Linked DNA regions of Rattus norvegicus. The protein of the gene in region 1 binds, or shares a complex with, the protein of each later gene. Links are inferred from orthologs where the notes say so. Each region holds a gene or a part of one and is shown in the gene's direction. Other genes may lie near its edges. The genes, in order: Trex1, Anp32a and Nme1.

Region 1 (5,314 bases):
CAGGTAAAGCAGGGCAGGGCGGCTCTCAACTGTCCTGCAGTGAGAGGGAAGGACTGGGGCAGGTTCAGAGCCCCTCAAGGGCTTCTGTACTTGTACCCCAGGCTACAATGAAAAGGGGGACCCTGAGTGAGGTCTGGAATCCTTTTCAGAAGGCTGCCTTCTCCTGAGGCTGTACATGTACATTACATCAAGGCCTGACAAAACGGCCTCAGAGACACAGTGGCTTCAGCTGGAACAAGAGGTAAGACTCTCAGACTCTGCTCACCCTTCACCCTTCAGGAGCCCAGGGCCTCCTCTCCACTTGTGGGAAAATAGGAGCTACAATTCATTTTGGTCAGTGTGTCAAACAGCAGAGGGTAACATTTAGGGGTTCCTCACACAGATGCAATACAAGTGCATCCTGGGTTGCAGTGGTGCTCAGCAGAGTTGCCTGATCATGCTGCCTGGGGCTTGGGGCCTGATCCTGGTCCTGGAAGCAGTGAGCTGTTGGTGAGATTCAGGTCTGAGAGCCTGAGGCTACCACTACTTGTACCCCACCTGTGCAGGCAAGCAGTTGTTGAAGTAGCTAGAGCACCTTAGGAATGCCCGCAGAAGCCTATGATAACTGGGTTCCACACAGGGTGAACACCATGTCTTCTTGTTCCAGGTAGTGTGGCTCTTGGCCAAGCTGAGTGTGCAGAGCCCTTCCCCCGCTGGCATTGTTTCTGACTGTCAGTGCAATGTAGAGGTGAGTGGCCGGAGGCTAACATCATGGCGGCTCAGTTGGTGAAGGGCAGTCCTGCTTCCCTTGAAGTGTCGAGGTGAGCAAGACCTCAGTCTGTGCCCTCTCTTCCCCTAGGCAGTCAGAGCACTCACTGTGATGTTGCACAGGCAATGGCTGACTGTGCGGCGGGCAGGGGGTCCAAGGACCCACCAGCAGAAGCAGACGGTCCGCTGTCTGCGGGACACTGTGCTGCTGCTGCACAGCCTATCTCAGAAGGACAAGCTCTTTACTGTGCACTGTGTCGAGGTCCTGCATCAGTACGACCAGGTGATGCCAGGGGTCAGCATGCTGATTCGAGCCCTTCCTGATGTGACTGACTGTGAAGGTAAGCTATCAAGAGACTGTCACAGCCTTCATATGCCTCTGCCTGAGGCTGATGAAAAAGTCAGACTCCTTTGCTGGTCTCCTTTCCTTCCCTGAGTCTGCCCTTGCCACCAGAGCCATTCCTGGCACTGCAGACATGGCCTTCCTGCTCTAGGTCTGAGTATGATAGGTTCCCATTTGATTATGTCTATTGAATCGGCCTAGCTGAGCCATGGTTTTTCCACAAAGATCTGTCCCGATTGCTTTTGTATCACTTTTGCTCACAGTAGCTGAGGGAGCAAAGCCTACACATGGAAGGGACTGGTTAGTTCCTGTGCCTCTAGGGAGGATGGGTAGGCCTCCAGGCCCCAGCACCATCAAGTTAATCTCAGAACCCTCTTCCTTTTGGCTCAGAGGCTGCCCTGGATGACCTCTGTGCTGCAGAGACAGATTTGGAAGACGCCGAGATGGACTGTAGCTGAGGGCCTGAGCATCCAGCCACAAGGTGGCACTAGCCCCACCGTCTTTGCCACATCCACTGATTAAAACTGCACTTCCTGCTGAGAACCGGCTTTGTTTCCTGAGTCTTGATTTGTGGGGCTGAGAGGGAGGGACAGAGCAGACTAGGAACTGCTGGATTAGGTGACTCTCCTGCTGGAGTTGAGATGGTCCTGATCAGCCCTGAGGAAAAACCCTGCCCCTCTTCCGGAATTACCCTGAGTCATAGCTTTGGGCCAGGTCCATGGGAGAACAAACTTGTGTAGCTGACAGGAAGGCCTGGATCAAGGCCTGGGGGAAAGGAAAGGAAAGGAAAGGCAGAGACTCACGGGCTTGTTTGAATCCTAGAGACAACCTAGGGAGTTGTCATTGTGGGAGCAGCAGTGATAGTCTACTTTGTTAGCCGGCAGGATCACAGATATGGATCTAGGAAGGCCTTTGGGGTGCTTGGGGAGGGAGGGAGGAGCTTTAGCACGAGGGCCAGGCCTGGCCGGCTAGCTAGCAGGGCGGGCCCTGTTCAGAAGGCAGGCCTCTGGGTGGACCCAGGCAGTTTTACTTCCTGAGCCAGTGCTGCCAGCCACAGAATCAGCGGAGTGCCTTGTTGCCTGCTTATCGGTAAGTGTGGGGGGCCTCTAGGGTATGGGGTAAGGCAGAAGAGGACAGGTTTCCCTCACCCTGAAGGTGGTCAGCACTAGGAGAAGAGCCTCCCTCAAAAGGATAGTAGTGTAGTATCCATCTCACTAGGAGAACAACCCTACTATTAGCTTCTCGTGGCCCTGGACAGCACCTGACTGAAGAGAAGGGCTGTGGGTGTTGGTGTTTCTGCCCACACCACACCCAACCCCAGCCCACTTTAGACCTTTCTGATGCTACTCATTACCCCATCTCCTCCCCAGGCTCAGCATGGGCTCACAGGCCCTGCCCCACGGTCACATGCAGACCCTCATCTTCTTAGACCTGGAAGCCACTGGCCTGCCTTACTCTCAGCCCAAAATCACAGAGCTGTGCCTGCTGGCTGTCCACAGACATGCCCTGGAGAACTCCTCCATGTCTGAGGGGCAGCCACCTCCGGTGCCCAAACCACCCCGTGTGGTGGACAAGCTCTCTCTCTGCATTGCTCCAGGGAAACCCTGCAGTTCTGGGGCCAGTGAGATCACAGGTCTGACCACAGCTGGGCTGGAAGCACACGGGCGTCAACGCTTCAATGACAACCTGGCCACCCTGCTCCAAGTCTTCCTGCAGCGCCAGCCACAGCCCTGCTGCCTTGTGGCCCACAACGGTGACCGCTACGACTTTCCTCTGCTCCAGGCAGAGCTTGCTTCGCTGAGCGTTATCAGTCCTCTGGACGGTACCTTCTGTGTGGATAGCATCGCTGCCCTGAAGACCTTGGAGCAAGCCAGCAGCCCCTCAGAGCATGGTCCGAGGAAAAGCTATAGCCTGGGTAGTATCTACACCCGCCTGTACGGGCAAGCACCAACAGACTCACACACTGCTGAAGGCGACGTTCTAGCCCTGCTCAGCATCTGTCAGTGGAAGCCACAGGCCCTACTGCAGTGGGTGGACAAACACGCCCGGCCCTTTAGCACCATCAAGCCCATGTATGGCATGGCAGCTACTACTGGAACGGCCAGCCCAAGGCTGTGTGCTGCCACAACCTCCTCACCCCTGGCCACAGCCAACTTAAGTCCCAGCAATGGCAGGAGCAGGGGCAAGCGACCTACGAGTCCTCCTCCAGAGAACGTCCCAGAAGCCCCATCACGGGAGGGGCTGCTGGCCCCACTGGGCCTGCTGACCTTCCTGACCTTGGCAATAGCCGTTCTGTATGGAATCTTCCTGGCCTCACCTGGGCAGTAAGTCAAGAGGGAAGATATGATTAATAAAGACTACCATAGCACTGACTGCTTGTCGCTTCTGCTTCTCAGCCTGGGCCTTTGGCCACAGTCAGGCCCTAGGGCTGAGGTACACCTCTTTCTCCTGCTCTCTTAGCAGGAGAACCTGCTAGGCTAATTAACACAGGGAAGAAGCAAGTTCAGGAGGTAGACAGAAAGAGTTTTTGGTAGACAGCCAAGGCCAGCCGCCCAGGCTATAAAGAAAGGGGAAGTGGTCCAAATATTCATTTATTATAAACGAGGGTGCGGAGTTTGAATGCTCAGAAACACCAATTAACACAAAACTAAAACAGCCAGTGAAACAGGAACCAACAGGGAATATGGAGGCATTCACATCTGGTCCAGAGCTACCATCCAGGCTCTCCACCCCCACCCTTGGTCCAGATAACCCCTGGCCCTGGTGTCCCTGCTACTGGAACAAACTGGACTGTAGTACAGGAGTCAGGTATTCTATGAAGCTGGTGTCAAGGGAAATGGACTGTCAGAGGTCAGGTTTCCTGTTCTCCAGGAACCAAGGATTTCAACCTCACCAATTATCACACATCTGGATACAAAAAACAGGCAATATGTTTGGCTAATCGTAAAAAGACACTGTAGGGAGAAACCAGAGTGTGTAGTAGACAGAGGCCCCTGGCCTGGAAGCCACTGGAGCCTGAATAGTGAATACATGTGGCCCTCTACATAGTCCCAGGAAAGACAGTGGGACCGTCCAGACAGACAGCTGATGGAGACGGACGGGGCTCTCTGCCTAGTGTGCTCTGACATCAGTCACTGACCCACTGCCACTGAGGCCCCTTGTTCTCTGTCCAGCTAAATGCAGCCAAGCCCTGGGAATAAACCCATAGCAGCAGCTAGCTGGCTACTCCCCAAAGCAGGACATGGACCCACAAAAAGCTTGCTCTCCTATGTGTGGCAGGCTATGGCTGGTCACCTTGGGGTGAAGCGGGAAATACCTCCTACCCTATTGTTTTTAATTTACTTGAAATTTCAGAAATTACAATTTCAAGTGAGGAAGAAAACAGATTGGTCCCAACCAGCACTGGTAAGATTTGTGCCTACCTGGTCATCAGCAGAGGAAGCCACATGTCTAGACAAGGCACACGCACCACAGACAGCAGTAAAGAACTCTGCATAGCACTCACACACACATGACATAATCAAATGTTAGCCAAAGAGGCTGGGGGCAGGCTCAGGGAACTGCCTTTGGGGGATCCATGTAGGCCGGGTTGTATGGAGGCTGGCTGGCTCCTGAAAGGAGAGAGGACACAGGTTAGCTGTGGGGACATTGGGCTGCAGGGCAAGCGGGCAGGCAAGCTAGGAGGAAAGGACCCTAGGAGCAGAGGCATGAGTTGGGGGATGGTGCAGGGTTAACCGAATCCACAGTGGTACTCACCAGCCAACGTCTCATGATAGGCTGGTGGCCCTGTGGACTGGGCCAGGTAGGGTGGAGGGTACTGCGTTGGGTAGGGTGCTGCTGGCATTCCTGGCTGGGGGGGCATGGGATGGTAGCCCTGGTATGTTGGTCCAGGATAGCTGGGGGCCACAGGTTGAGGCTGAGGGTAAGCGGTGTGAACCACGGTAGTAGTTGTGGTGTTGGACACGACAGCTGCAAGGAGAATCCGGATTAGTCAAAACCTTAGAGCTCCCTAGGCCAGAAGAAGCCAGGTCTGCCCCTCCCGCTTAGTCAAAACAGGATGCTGGTCATCAACCCTTTCCCGCTCTGGGATCTGCATGCTGGCACAGGAAGGGACACCGGTGGAGCCGGTGGGTAAGGGTAAGCTTACGTCGTGGGCGGCAGCACATCTTATATAGACAGCAGCAGGAGCAGGTAAAGCACACAATGATGGTAGCGATAAACACC
Region 2 (5,824 bases), about 47 Mb from region 1:
TCTCTTACTCATTTCTTGAGACAAGTTCTTGTATAATCCAAGTGGGCTTCAAACCTGGCTGTGTGGCCAAATGGTGACCTTGAACATAGTTTGTGTGTTGCTGGGGGTCAGAACCAGACAGAACCAGAACCGACTGAGCCGCGTCTTCACACCACACAGGTGTTTCTGAATGTGGCTGTACACGGAGGGACTCCCCCTCCCTCCATGGTGTAGCTAGGGTATGTGTAATATTTAAAATGTGTCTGTTGTTGGGGAGGCTGATCAGTGTGTGTGTGTGTGTGTGTGTGTGTGTGTGTGTGTGTGTAAACTGTAGCTGTGATGGCTTACCTATTGTCCCTAACAGGAGGGGCTCCCAGTTTGGGTGTGGTGCTGGGAGGTGGTGGGGACTGGCCTGGTCCACTGTAGAAATGCAAGGCAGCTTGTTCTGCTAGCAGGAGTTGGGAGGTGCCGTGCCCCCCACCCCCACCCCCTGAGCATCCCCCATAGAGGCAACAAGAAATTCCCTTGATGGTCCATCATTACTTTCTTCATCCCAGGTCCCCTTACAACACTTGCTAATGGCATTAAGGGGAGAGGCTGTTACCACTCTAGGAAAACCACAAATGTCTGCAGCCTCTGAGGATATACGGGGATCTGCTGTTGGAAGCAGGGATTCCCTGGAAAACCAGTTAAGGAAGAAGACTGGAGCACAGGAGTCCAACACCTCATACTGTGTCCCTTGGCCCCACAGCCACTCCCTCCATTTGCTTGCTGCCCACAGCGAGGCCTCCTCTCTACCGTTTTCTTGCCTGAGGGGGAAGGGCTCCAAGGTTTTGTTCTTACAGTCTAACCAGTGAGGGCTTGACCTGGACCCGTGGCCTCTTAGATCCATCAAGAAGATGGAGCACGGCCAGGGCAGAGGCTTAGAGCTTGTGATTCAGGGAGGAAGGTGGTGTTCCGGGATTTCTTCCCTTCAGGTAGAACTGTGAATCCCTGCTAGACTGTCCTGCCTGGAGTGCTCACTGTATCCACAGGAAAGAAGGAGGCAGGGCTCTGAGACCCAGGTACCCCATAGTCTCTGCCCTGACCATTAGCCTGGAGTGACCCTGTTGTACCTCTTCCCTGCAAAGTGGCTGAATACAAGCAGTCGCTGGAAGACCAGAGGAATCTCCAGCAAGGTCCTCTTAGAGGAGAAGTGCAGCCGTGGGTGGGGACTGGGACTGGCTCGTGGGATCTTTATGCAGCGTGGCGGGGGAGGAGGGCAGTGGCAACCCTGTGAGCCACGTGGGCCTGTGGTGAATCCCATAGATTGAGGGTACAGCATAGCCAGTCAGTATTTTCAATGCTTGCCAGAGGCTGCAGGGTGGAAGCTGGTTCTGAGGCAGAGTCCTGGGGTGCAAGGGTGCGCTGGGACAAGTGCCATTGGGAGGGGTCAGTCTTCTCTTTTTAGACTCCTTTCAGCCAGTCCTGGTGCCACAGATCTCTAATCCTAACTCAGAAGCAAGTCAAGAGGGTTACAAATTGCAGACCTTTTAAAGGAAGTCCGGGTCCAACTTAGGCAATTCAGAGAAAGCCTGTGTCAAAATAAAAAGGGATAGAAAAAAAAATAAAACGTGAAATAAAGGGAGCAGATGTTTGCTCAGCATACGTGAGCACCTCTGCTCAACCCTCCGTTCCGTACCACAGGAAGGGTTCCTGGTATCACCAAGAGACTGGGTTCCCCAAGCACCTGGCTTGCCTTGGGGTACCTTGGTCTGCCTGCCAATCCCTTCGGCTGTTTGTGACTTCCCTGAGACCCACTGGCTTTCCCCTGGCCTATATCATCCTGCAGTGAGTTTGGTTTAGAACCTCCTCACCAGAGTGACTTTCACTGTCTCTTTCTGCTCTGTCAGAAACAGAGTCACACCTTCCATCCCCACCCTCCCTGCCCTTGGAGAGGGAGTGGGTAGGGACCCTCGAATTTCAGTGTTGCTGTCTTAGGCATGCAGGTTTTCTCCTCTTCCACGAGGCAGGGGCCAAGGAAAACATCCATGAACCATGTGGTCCAGTAACTGTGCCTTGTGTCTCTGTGTACTTAAGATTAAAATAACACCAAATGTTCAGGGCCACACGAGGCTTGTGGCTCTGTTCTTGGACAGCACCAAATATTTTCTTTCTGGTGGAACCGTCTCCTGGACAGTACTGTCTAGGCACAAGGACTTTGAAGAGGGTTCTCCGCTATGCTGCTGCCATGGTGGGCCAGGCCTCAGTGGGCAGGCTGAGGCCAGAGGAAGGAGGAGAGCAAGCATTAGTGTGTTCTGGGTAATCCATGAGTACTTGGGGGGCGGGAAGCAAGTGGGGTGCTGAGTGTGAGAAGTGAGTAGTCTGCCTCCAGTGGGTGTCTGGCCAGGACATTTGTAGGCAGGGATAGAGGTGTGCATATCCAATGTTCTGTCTGGGTCTTGCTAATGGTGGGATGACGGGGAGAGGTTGATCGTCCTTTGCTCTGAGGCAGAGCTGATCTGGATAAAGCAATTGATAGCCGTTGGGAGTTGGAGCACCTCTTTGACCCCTTCTCTCTGTCTGCTCACGCCACTCTTCCCTTTCTAGGTGAAAGAGCTGGTCCTGGATAACTGTCGGTCAATTGAAGGCAAAATCGAAGGCCTCACGGATGAGTTTGAAGAACTGGAATTCCTAAGTACAATCAACGTAGGCCTCACCTCCATTTCCAACTTACCAAAGTTAAACAAACTCAAGAAGGTAAACAGCCTGGGAGGCTGGGGTGGGGGAGGCTTTGTGCTCCGGGGAGCATAATTAAGGCAAGGCCAGGTGCTTGCTCCAACTTGCTGGCACGTTCTCTGGGGAGAGTGGCCCTGAGCCCGGTGTTAAACGCACTTTCCCTTCCTGCCTCACACAGCTTGAATTAAGCGAAAACAGAATCTCAGGGGACCTGGAAGTATTGGCAGAGAAATGTCCGAACCTTAAGCATCTAAATTTAAGTGGCAACAAAATAAAAGATCTCAGCACAATAGAGCCGCTGGTGAGTCCCTGGGGTCCTCCCCTTTCCTCAGGGGTGGTGGGGAGCCCAACTTTCACAGTTACATTTATTTATCACTGTTTTTCTTCGACTCTCATCCAGTGCTGTGAGCTAGTTGGGCACTGTTTCTGCTTAGTCCATGGAGAATTCAGTTGGACCAAGGTCACCCGGCCAGAATGGGCACCCAGTGTGGGGCAGGGAGTGGAGCCTGGTCTGGTGTGTGCCCTTCAGCCTGGGTTGTGCTGTCTGGGCTCACAGCCTGACTGGCTTGCCACCCTTTGAGAAGAGAGGAGCAAACCTAGATGTAAGCTGACTCTGGAGGTAGATCGGTCATCCTTTCTCCCAAGGCTTAGGCTAGTGGGTTAGGAATTAGTGCTGACACACAAGGCTCCTGGAGTGTGAGGCTATGCTTGGTGGGAGCCCAGTGCAAACCTTCATTTGCATATGGAGAGAAGAGTGTCTATTGGTGACCAGTGCCTCAGAGACAGGATGGAAGACACTTCTGGTTCTTGCTTTACTCATTTTCCAGTTAGAAGGGGAAATTTTAGTCAGAATGACAATCTCTGCCACCACGTCCTAGGCGCAGTATTCTTCTGGTTTTTAAGGAAACAGCCTGAAAATGTGACAAAAAGAATCCTTTGGAACTAGAGAAAAGTCACAAAGCTTGACTTGAGGAAGGACTGGGGACACGGCAAAGGAGGCTGGGCAAGTCCACAAAGCACCCATCAGTCTCCGAGCAGCCTGAAGTCCTGGTGTCAGGTGGTCCTAACACCAAGTTGACATTGTTGCTTCAAGCTCAGACGTCACCTGTCTGTCTGTCTTGCTAATAAAACACACTGACCACAGAAAGTTCTTTCCAGGTCTCCCACTGACCTATGCGAAGGCAGGGCTGATTTTTTTTTCTGCCTGGAAGCCCTGGCATCATCACCTTGTTCCAAAGAGAAACCTCTTCAGAGTTCTGACTCATGTGTGTTGGGAGTGTGTAGACAGCTGAGTCTAAAGTCTTCCTGAGGCAGTGTGGCAGGGTCACCACTGGGGAGCAGGCACGCACACATTCCCACTTCTCTGCACACAGATCACATACGTTTCTGTGGCTTCCCATCCTGGTTATTGATATGATGTCCTCTGTCCTCCCAGATGCTGGGCCACCTCCCTGCCTTTGGCCCCACCACTAAGAATCGCCTGGGTCTATGTATAAAAGTGGTAGAGAATCAAGACTTTCTCTGAGGGGCCTACTCTTCCTAGTTTGACCTGGTCCCCATGGCAACAGGGACTCAGTATGGGATGGGTCTTTGAATGAGATGGGAGGTCAGGATTCAGCTGCATTTCTTTGCTAGCTGGGTGCCTCCTTGCTTTCTGGGCCTCCATTTTCTTACCTATCCAACATGATAGCATTGGCCAGGACTGGTCTGACCTCAGTGGGTAAAGCACTTGCTGTGCAGACATGAGGATATGAGTTCAAATCCTCAGAGCCCAAGTCACAGCTGGGAATGGCAATGCACCCCTGAACTCCCCAGTGCTAGAATGTTGTCCTCATGTGGGTCCCAGGGGCTGGGCCAGCAGTCTAATCAAAAAGATGAGTTCCAGATTCAGTGAGAGACTCTGTCACTGCATACATACATGCATATGTACATACATACATGCATGTGTGTGTAAAACAATAAAGATAACCAGAGTTGACCTAACTTCTACTAGTGAGTGTGTGTGCACACTTGTACACACGCGCACACCATGTACACATGCAAAAGGGCATACCTGGCTTCCTTCTCTCAGAATTCTTGGGCTGTCTGTGGTGCCTTTCCTAGGGCGTTTCCCCTTCCTTCCCCTTTTCCATGGTTCGCCCTCACTGTTGACTACCTTTCTCCACTTGCAGAAGAAGTTAGAGAATCTCAAGAGCCTAGACCTGTTTAACTGTGAGGTGACCAACCTGAATGCCTACCGAGAAAACGTGTTCAAGCTCCTGCCCCAGGTCATGTACCTCGATGGCTATGACAGAGACAACAAGGAGGCCCCTGACTCTGATGTTGAGGGCTACGTGGAGGATGACGACGAGGAAGATGAGGATGGTAGGTGGCAATGGGGATCCTGGATACAGGAGCTTACTCTGGACAAGCTGGCAAACCATAGAGGGAAATGGACCTGGTGGCCTCAAGTCCCCAAAGGAAGGACAATGTGTATATCTCTATAGTGTAACCCCAGGCTTGGGAGGAGAAGAGGTCAGTTGTGGGGATGGGCTCCCCAGGACCTTTTCTCCTTCCGGGAGTCCAGGGTCTTCTGCTGGAGAGGCTGTGGCGCCCCCTGGTGGTTGCAGCGTGTAGGACCACTGGCCAGCATTGGGCCCTTCAGAAGCCAAGGGAAGTTGGGGGCTATAGTCAATGTCAGATCCCTTGGGAAGGAAGGGGAGGCTAAGGGCCCCTCCTCCCTGCCCCATCCCGTTGTCTCTGCAGGTTCCTTTCAGTGAGCACCCTGCGGCTCTACTGTGGGGCTTTCTAGCCCAAGCAAAGCTAAGCACTCAGACAGTGCCAGGCAGTGCAGACATAAGATTCTGTTGTCCTTGTTGGTCTGGGGTCTTCTATGAGATGGTCATATATGTTCATATATTGTCAGCCTTGGTGGAGATCCTTTTCCCAATAGATTGTAAGTGTCCCCCTTTTGGACACAGTGTAGTTCTGTGATATGTGGCAGGGCTCTGTGGTACAGCCCCGGGCCAGCTTCAAGCCCCTGCTCCCCTACACAGACCACTTGTGGCCTTGAACAAGGCATTTCTCTGAAGAGGGATTAATTGATTTAGCCTCTTTGCTTCCCTGGGGCCCCGGAGCTTCTTGCTCG
Region 3 (5,760 bases), on another chromosome or scaffold:
TGGACCTTTAACCTTTGAATAAATGTCCTTGGAGATGGCCAGGTTCAGTTACTACTTGTCTAATACAGAGACTGTCTTCCTGTTTCCATCTTATATTTTGATTGAACTGCTTTCTGGGAACAAAAAGTCACCCTACCATTCCTCTCCTTTCCTTCCTTACAGTGGGTTGTTTTTAGCGATAGAGTATGGCTCTGTAGCCTAGGCTGGTCTCAACACTTGTGGACATCCGGTGTTTGCCTTCCAGTGTTGGGATTGCAGGTTCAGTGCTACGCTCAGCAGGCTGGGTTCAGCTCTAAGTTATTTTATCCTGCTGCATTAGAGATTCAGAATCGCTTTGTGGCTGTCACTGTTCCCCATGTGGAAGATGAATCTGGTTATATCTGATCACCTAACTAGCTGCGAGCTCATGTTCCGAACAGCGGGAGGGATATGGGGAAGAAACCAGCCTTCTGGTTCTTAGGGGCCTGGGGCCAGCTCTCACTGTCTGTTCTGTAACAGGCTTCAGAGGATCTTCTCAAGGAGCACTACATTGACCTGAAGGACCGCCCCTTCTTTTCTGGCCTGGTGAAGTACATGCACTCAGGACCGGTGGTTGCTATGGTGAGTGAGACTGTGCAATGTCCATGGAGTGACTCATTTGGGAGTAGAGCAGAGTGAGTGTTGCATTTCCTGCTTGGGTGCCAGGTCCTCTTTATTGTAGAGGAAACAGGCTGATGGGATATCCAGTTAGGATGAGAATTGTCTGTCTGATCCACCAAAGAAAATGTGCATTTGCCTGCCAAGCTGAGACCCAGGACTGGGAGAAATCAGGAGAGACTGGCTTGGCTGAATTCCCATGGAACACAGGGGATTTGGTTTATTTCAATATCATTTAATTGATTGATTCTTAACCTGTGGGTCAAGACCCCTTTGGGGTCGAATGACCTTTTACAGGGGTCGCCTAAGATGATTAGAAAACATAGATATTTACATTATGATTCATAATAGTAGCAAAGTTATAGTTATGAAATAGCAACAAAAATAATCTTATGGTTGGGGTCACCATATGCAAACTATATATATATATATTTTTTTTTTCTCTTTTTCGGAGCTGGGGACCGAACCCAGGGCCTTGCGCTTGCTAGGCAAGCGCTCTACCACTGAGCTAAATCCCCAACCCCATGCAAACTATATTTTAAAGGGTTGCAGCATCAGGAAGGTTGAGAACCACTGACTTAAGCAAGAATGAGCTTGGTATCTCTATGTCAAGCCCCTTCCTACATACTTTAGATACAGTTTTGAGACAAAATGGGTATCTGTTTTCATTCTTTCTTTCTAAAAATGATTTATTGAGACAGGGTCTTAATATGTAGGCTAGCCTTGTGTCCTGAAATTTAGCATGTAGTTTAGGCTGGCCTCAGGTAGTCCACACTGCCCTGGAGCTTTTGATTCTTCCACTGAGAGTGTATTGGCTCATCGCACCAGACACAACTTTGCTTTTTAAAGTACAGAAAGAAGGTTGGATTGGATGGTAAGAGGAGGATGGGGTGAGAAGTGCTCAGGGAGCACATGATGTCAGGGTTTGCTGTTATGTTACCAGGGCTGGGAAGGTATGGGAGGTACCAGACTTAGCTTTTTATTTATTTGTTCTGGTCTTTTGAGACAGGGTCAGTCTTAGTCACTGTCCTCTTACTGTGAAAAGACACCATGGCCAAGGCAGCTCTTATAAAGGAAAGCATCTCATTAGAGCTGTCTACAGTTCCAGTGGGTTAGTCCATTATCATCATGGCAGGCAAGCCCGTCTGTGTGCAGGCAGACATGGTGCTGGAGAAATTGAGAGTTCTACATCCAGATCTGAAGGCCCCAGGAAAAGGGAGCCATTGGGTCTGGCTTGGGCTTTTAAAACTCAAAGCGCACCCCAAGTGACACACTTCTTCCAACAAGGCCATATCTACTAATCCTTCTCAAGAAGTGCCACTCCCTGGTGCTTAAGCATTCAAATCTGTATAAGCCTTTAGGGCCATTTTTATTTGAACTACCACATTTCACTTTCTGGCCTCATAGACCTGTAGCCCAATCTTAATGCAAAAATGCATTCAGTTCAACTTCAAAAGTCCCCACAGTCCATCAGTATCAGCAGTGTTTCAAAGTCCTAAGTTCAGAGTCTCTTCTGAGACTCAAGGCGGCCTCCTGTCACCCGTCAAATAAAAATGAAAAGGCATGTCACATCCTTTCCACATACCATGACATAGAACATACATTGCCATTCCAAAAAGGAGGAAAGTGAGGCAATCCTGAACCAAAGCAAGACCTAAACCCAGCAGGACAAACTCCACACTCTGCATCGCCGTGTCTGATGCCAACGTGCGCTTTGATCTCCTGCTCCTTTCCGTATTGACTGGGACACACTTCTGTCTTGAGCTGGTTCTACACCCCATGTGCAGCGTTCCTTGGCAGGTATCCCACGACACTGGCATCTCTGATATCTTGGGGTTTCCAACATAGGGTCTTTCTACGAAGCCCTGGCTGTGTCTTGGAATACTCTATGTAGATCAGGCTGGCCCTACTGAGATCCACCTGCCTCTACCTCTGGGGTGGTGGGATAACCTCAGTGCCATTAAGAAGGTTGCTGGCTGCCACCTGGATGGATCTGAATTGATCTTAGGAGTAGGGCCAGGTGACCAGCATCCTTAGTACTGGCATAAGTAGGCATTCTGTTTGTCTAGTTGAATGAGGGAGTCCTAGAGCCTTTTGTTTTGAATTACCAGCTACCAGGTTTTCTACTGAGAGAGTTTTTCTTCCTTGACTGTGTCTTCTGTTGTCCTTGGAGGTCTGGGAGGGACTGAATGTTGTGAAGACAGGCCGGGTGATGCTTGGAGAGACCAACCCCGCAGACTCTAAGCCTGGGACCATACGAGGAGACTTTTGCATTCAAGTTGGCAGGTAAGAATCGATGCTTTTCACCCCTTTCCCAAATCTAAGCTAGTTGCCACAAGAATTTGGGCTTCTGAGTCTAGAGATGAACATGATATCATCTGCGGGTCAATTCATTTTATTTTAGCCTTTAAAGTTCATCTTTATTTTTCACTTTTCTGTATGTGTATGGATAGTTTGCCTGCATGATGTGTACTTTCATGACTGGTGCCCAAGGAACTGGGGTCCCCTGAACTGGAGTTACAGATAGTTGTGAGCCCCGTGTGAATCCTGGGAACTAAACCCAGGTTCTCTAGAGGACCAGCCAGTGCTCTTAAAACTGAGCCGTCTCTTCAGCCTTTAGTTTAGTTGTTTCCTCGAGACAATGTCCCAAGTAGGCTAGCTGGCCTCCAAATTGCTATGTAGCTGAGGCTATTCTTGAATTCCTGATACTCCCAACCTCCACCCCTCTCTCAAATGCTGGGAATACAGGCACTGGCCACTGCACCAGGTTTCAGTCACTTTTAAACATGAATTTTGTCTTCTTGCCTCTGAAGGTGGAAGCTGACTTGGAGGGAGGGTCCCCCATATTTGCTTGGTCCCAGTGGCTATGCCTTTCTTGAACAGAGAGCCTGGCCAGCATCGGCTATCAAAAGCCGAGTGCAAGGGGCTGTGGGCAAGTTCATTCTTCCCGTTTGGTAACACCATTCCCTCTCTCCACCCAGGAACATCATTCATGGCAGCGATTCTGTGGAGAGTGCGGAGAAGGAGATCAGTTTGTGGTTTCAGCCTGAGGAGCTGGTGGACTACAAGAGCTGTGCGCAGAACTGGATCTATGAGTGACAGCAGGGCCCCTGCTTTTTTTCTGTCTACTGACCCTTGATCTCACAGGCAGGGGAGCAGCAGCTCTAGATCTTTCTGGAACTTCTCTGAACTGGAAGAAGCCTCTGGGCGCTGTGACTCCCTGTGCAGTGTTAAGTGCCACTGGTAGATTAAAGTGTTTTGTCTGTACTTTTGTATTGCTGTATTGCTCTGCCCTGCTTACCTCCTCTTCAGGCTTCTGGGTAACCCAAGCGGACAGAATGTAAATGCTATGCAAATTACTTATATTGGCCTCGCGTGCACACAGAGATTCCTTTCATTGTCCTTGTGGTTTGAGCCAGCGCCCTGGGACGAGGAGGCGTTTCTTTGCCTATTTCCCTTCCCATCCCCTGCATCCTGTTCTCTCCTGGCATCCAGTCAGACAGCAGTTTCTGTGAGGATGTGTGAAGATGTTAAAACTGTTCTAGGAGCAGGGATTCATCAGAAATAAAGATGCCAACCGAAGCCTGTTGGCCCAGGTCTGTAATTCCAACACTCAGGAGACAGAGGCAGGAGGATTATGAGTTCCAGGCCAGCTTGGACTATATAGTGAAACCTTGTCAAACGAAACAAATCAAAATAGCTGGGTGTAGTGGAGCATGCCTTTTAATCCCAGCACTCAGGAGGCAGAGGCACTCAAGTCTGTGTGAGTTCAAGGTCAGCCTAGTCTAGATAGTGAGACCCTGGCTCAAAAAAACAGACAACAATCCCCCCACCCTCACCTCCCACCCGGGTTGGGGATATAACTTAGTTGGAAGGGAGAGTCTTTCCCAACATACATGAAGCCTTGGGTTCTGTCCCCAGCACCACATAACAGTAGGGTACTACTGCAATCCAGCACACAGGAGGTAGGATCAGAAGTTCAAAGTTGTCCTCAGCTATAAGTTTGAGGCCAGCCTGGGCTATACAAGAACATGTCCTAAAAAAACAAAAAGCTGGGTGGTGGCTCATGTCTTTAATCCCAGCACTCAGGAGGCAGGGGTAGGTAGTTCTCTGAGTTTGAGGCCAGCCTGGTCTACAGAGTGAGTTCCAGGACAACCAGGGAAAGACAGAGAAACCCTGTCTTGAAAAACAAAACAACCAAAAAAAAAAAAAAAAAAAAAAAAGGGATCATGAGAAGTTGTAGCTACCGTCAGATCAGAAAACCTGTGTCTTCTGTAGGCCTGGGACCCTCAGCTGCCATCCATGAAGGGTCCTCCCACTATAGGGTAGGCAGGCATGTGACCTAACAAAGGGCTGAATGACTTCACTGGATAGGTAAGTTCGGTGAAATTTGCAGACTCTCAGGACAATTGCCATTTGGTAACTCCAAAACAAAATGGAGAGTGTGGTGGCACATGCATGTATTCCTAGCATTTAGGAGGAAGACTCAGGATTGCAGCAGCTTGAGGTCAGACTGGTACAGTGCAGCCAGGGCTATGCAGCGAGATCCTCTCGAAAGGCAACCAACCAGCTAGCTGGGCATATGAGAGCCAGTGCTTCAGAGGGAGAATGAGGAAATGGCCCCAGAGTGAGGGCAAATGCCAGTCATTGCCAGGCTGATGCTGTTAGTTGAGGTTTCGGACAATGGTGAGGTATGATGGGCTGTTATCCACCCGAGTAGTTAGGTGACCAGTTGGGCTGGAGCCACAATGGTGATACCCTGAGTTTTGAGGTCAGTAGACCTCATCCCATCTCTGGTCATGAGTGGGAACTTAAAAAAGGAAAGAAAGAAATTCTAGGCCCAAGTGCCCACTGTAAAACCTGTAGCCTGTATGAAGGAACTGGGCACTTGGGCCTAGAATTTCTTTCTTTTTTTAAAATTCCCAAGAAACACTGTGATTTCAAGTGACTCTAACCCTGGTTTCAAGAGGCTATACTCTGCTTTGACAGTTCCCTGTGTCTCTGTATGGACTGGCAAGCTCTCTATGTGTTCTCTATGACACCAATCAAGAATCGAACCGAGATGGGATGAGGTCTATTACCTCAAAACATAGGTCAGAGAGCAGAGAGCTGTTCAGTCTGAGC

Evidence for each region.
Region 2: Trex1 (region 1) and Anp32a share a complex: the UniProt entries of both Homo sapiens proteins name them as parts of the SET complex. The link is inferred for Rattus norvegicus from reciprocal best matches to the Homo sapiens genes TREX1 and ANP32A.
Region 3: Trex1 (region 1) and Nme1 share a complex: the UniProt entries of both Homo sapiens proteins name them as parts of the SET complex. The link is inferred for Rattus norvegicus from reciprocal best matches to the Homo sapiens genes TREX1 and NME1.

What each region holds. Positions count from the first base shown.
Region 1 is NC_086026.1:118,583,230-118,588,543, reverse strand, and holds Trex1 (three-prime repair exonuclease 1), read left to right. Parts: upstream 1-2,161; 5' UTR 2,162-2,179; intron 2,180-2,460; 5' UTR 2,461-2,467; coding exon 2,468-3,418; 3' UTR 3,419-3,462; downstream 3,463-5,314. Other genes in the region: Atrip (ATR-interacting protein), read left to right, coding at 1-3, 150-241, 647-727, 839-1,088, 1,481-1,548; Shisa5 (protein shisa-5 isoform 1 precursor), read right to left, coding at 4,643-4,701, 4,847-5,059, 5,238-5,314. UniProt on the Homo sapiens protein: Major cellular 3'-to-5' DNA exonuclease which digests single-stranded DNA (ssDNA) and double-stranded DNA (dsDNA) with mismatched 3' termini. Prevents cell-intrinsic initiation of autoimmunity.
Region 2 is NC_086026.1:71,750,914-71,756,737, forward strand, and holds part of Anp32a (acidic leucine-rich nuclear phosphoprotein 32 family member A), read left to right. Parts: intron 1-2,568; coding exon 2,569-2,718; intron 2,719-2,875; coding exon 2,876-2,998; intron 2,999-4,868; coding exon 4,869-5,061; intron 5,062-5,824. UniProt on the Homo sapiens protein: Multifunctional protein that is involved in the regulation of many processes including tumor suppression, apoptosis, cell cycle progression or transcription. Promotes apoptosis by favouring the activation of caspase-9/CASP9 and allowing apoptosome formation.
Region 3 is NC_086028.1:79,402,082-79,407,841, reverse strand, and holds the end of Nme1 (nucleoside diphosphate kinase A), read left to right. Parts: intron 1-498; coding exon 499-600; intron 601-2,809; coding exon 2,810-2,922; intron 2,923-3,617; coding exon 3,618-3,735; 3' UTR 3,736-3,902; downstream 3,903-5,760. UniProt on the Homo sapiens protein: Major role in the synthesis of nucleoside triphosphates other than ATP. The ATP gamma phosphate is transferred to the NDP beta phosphate via a ping-pong mechanism, using a phosphorylated active-site intermediate.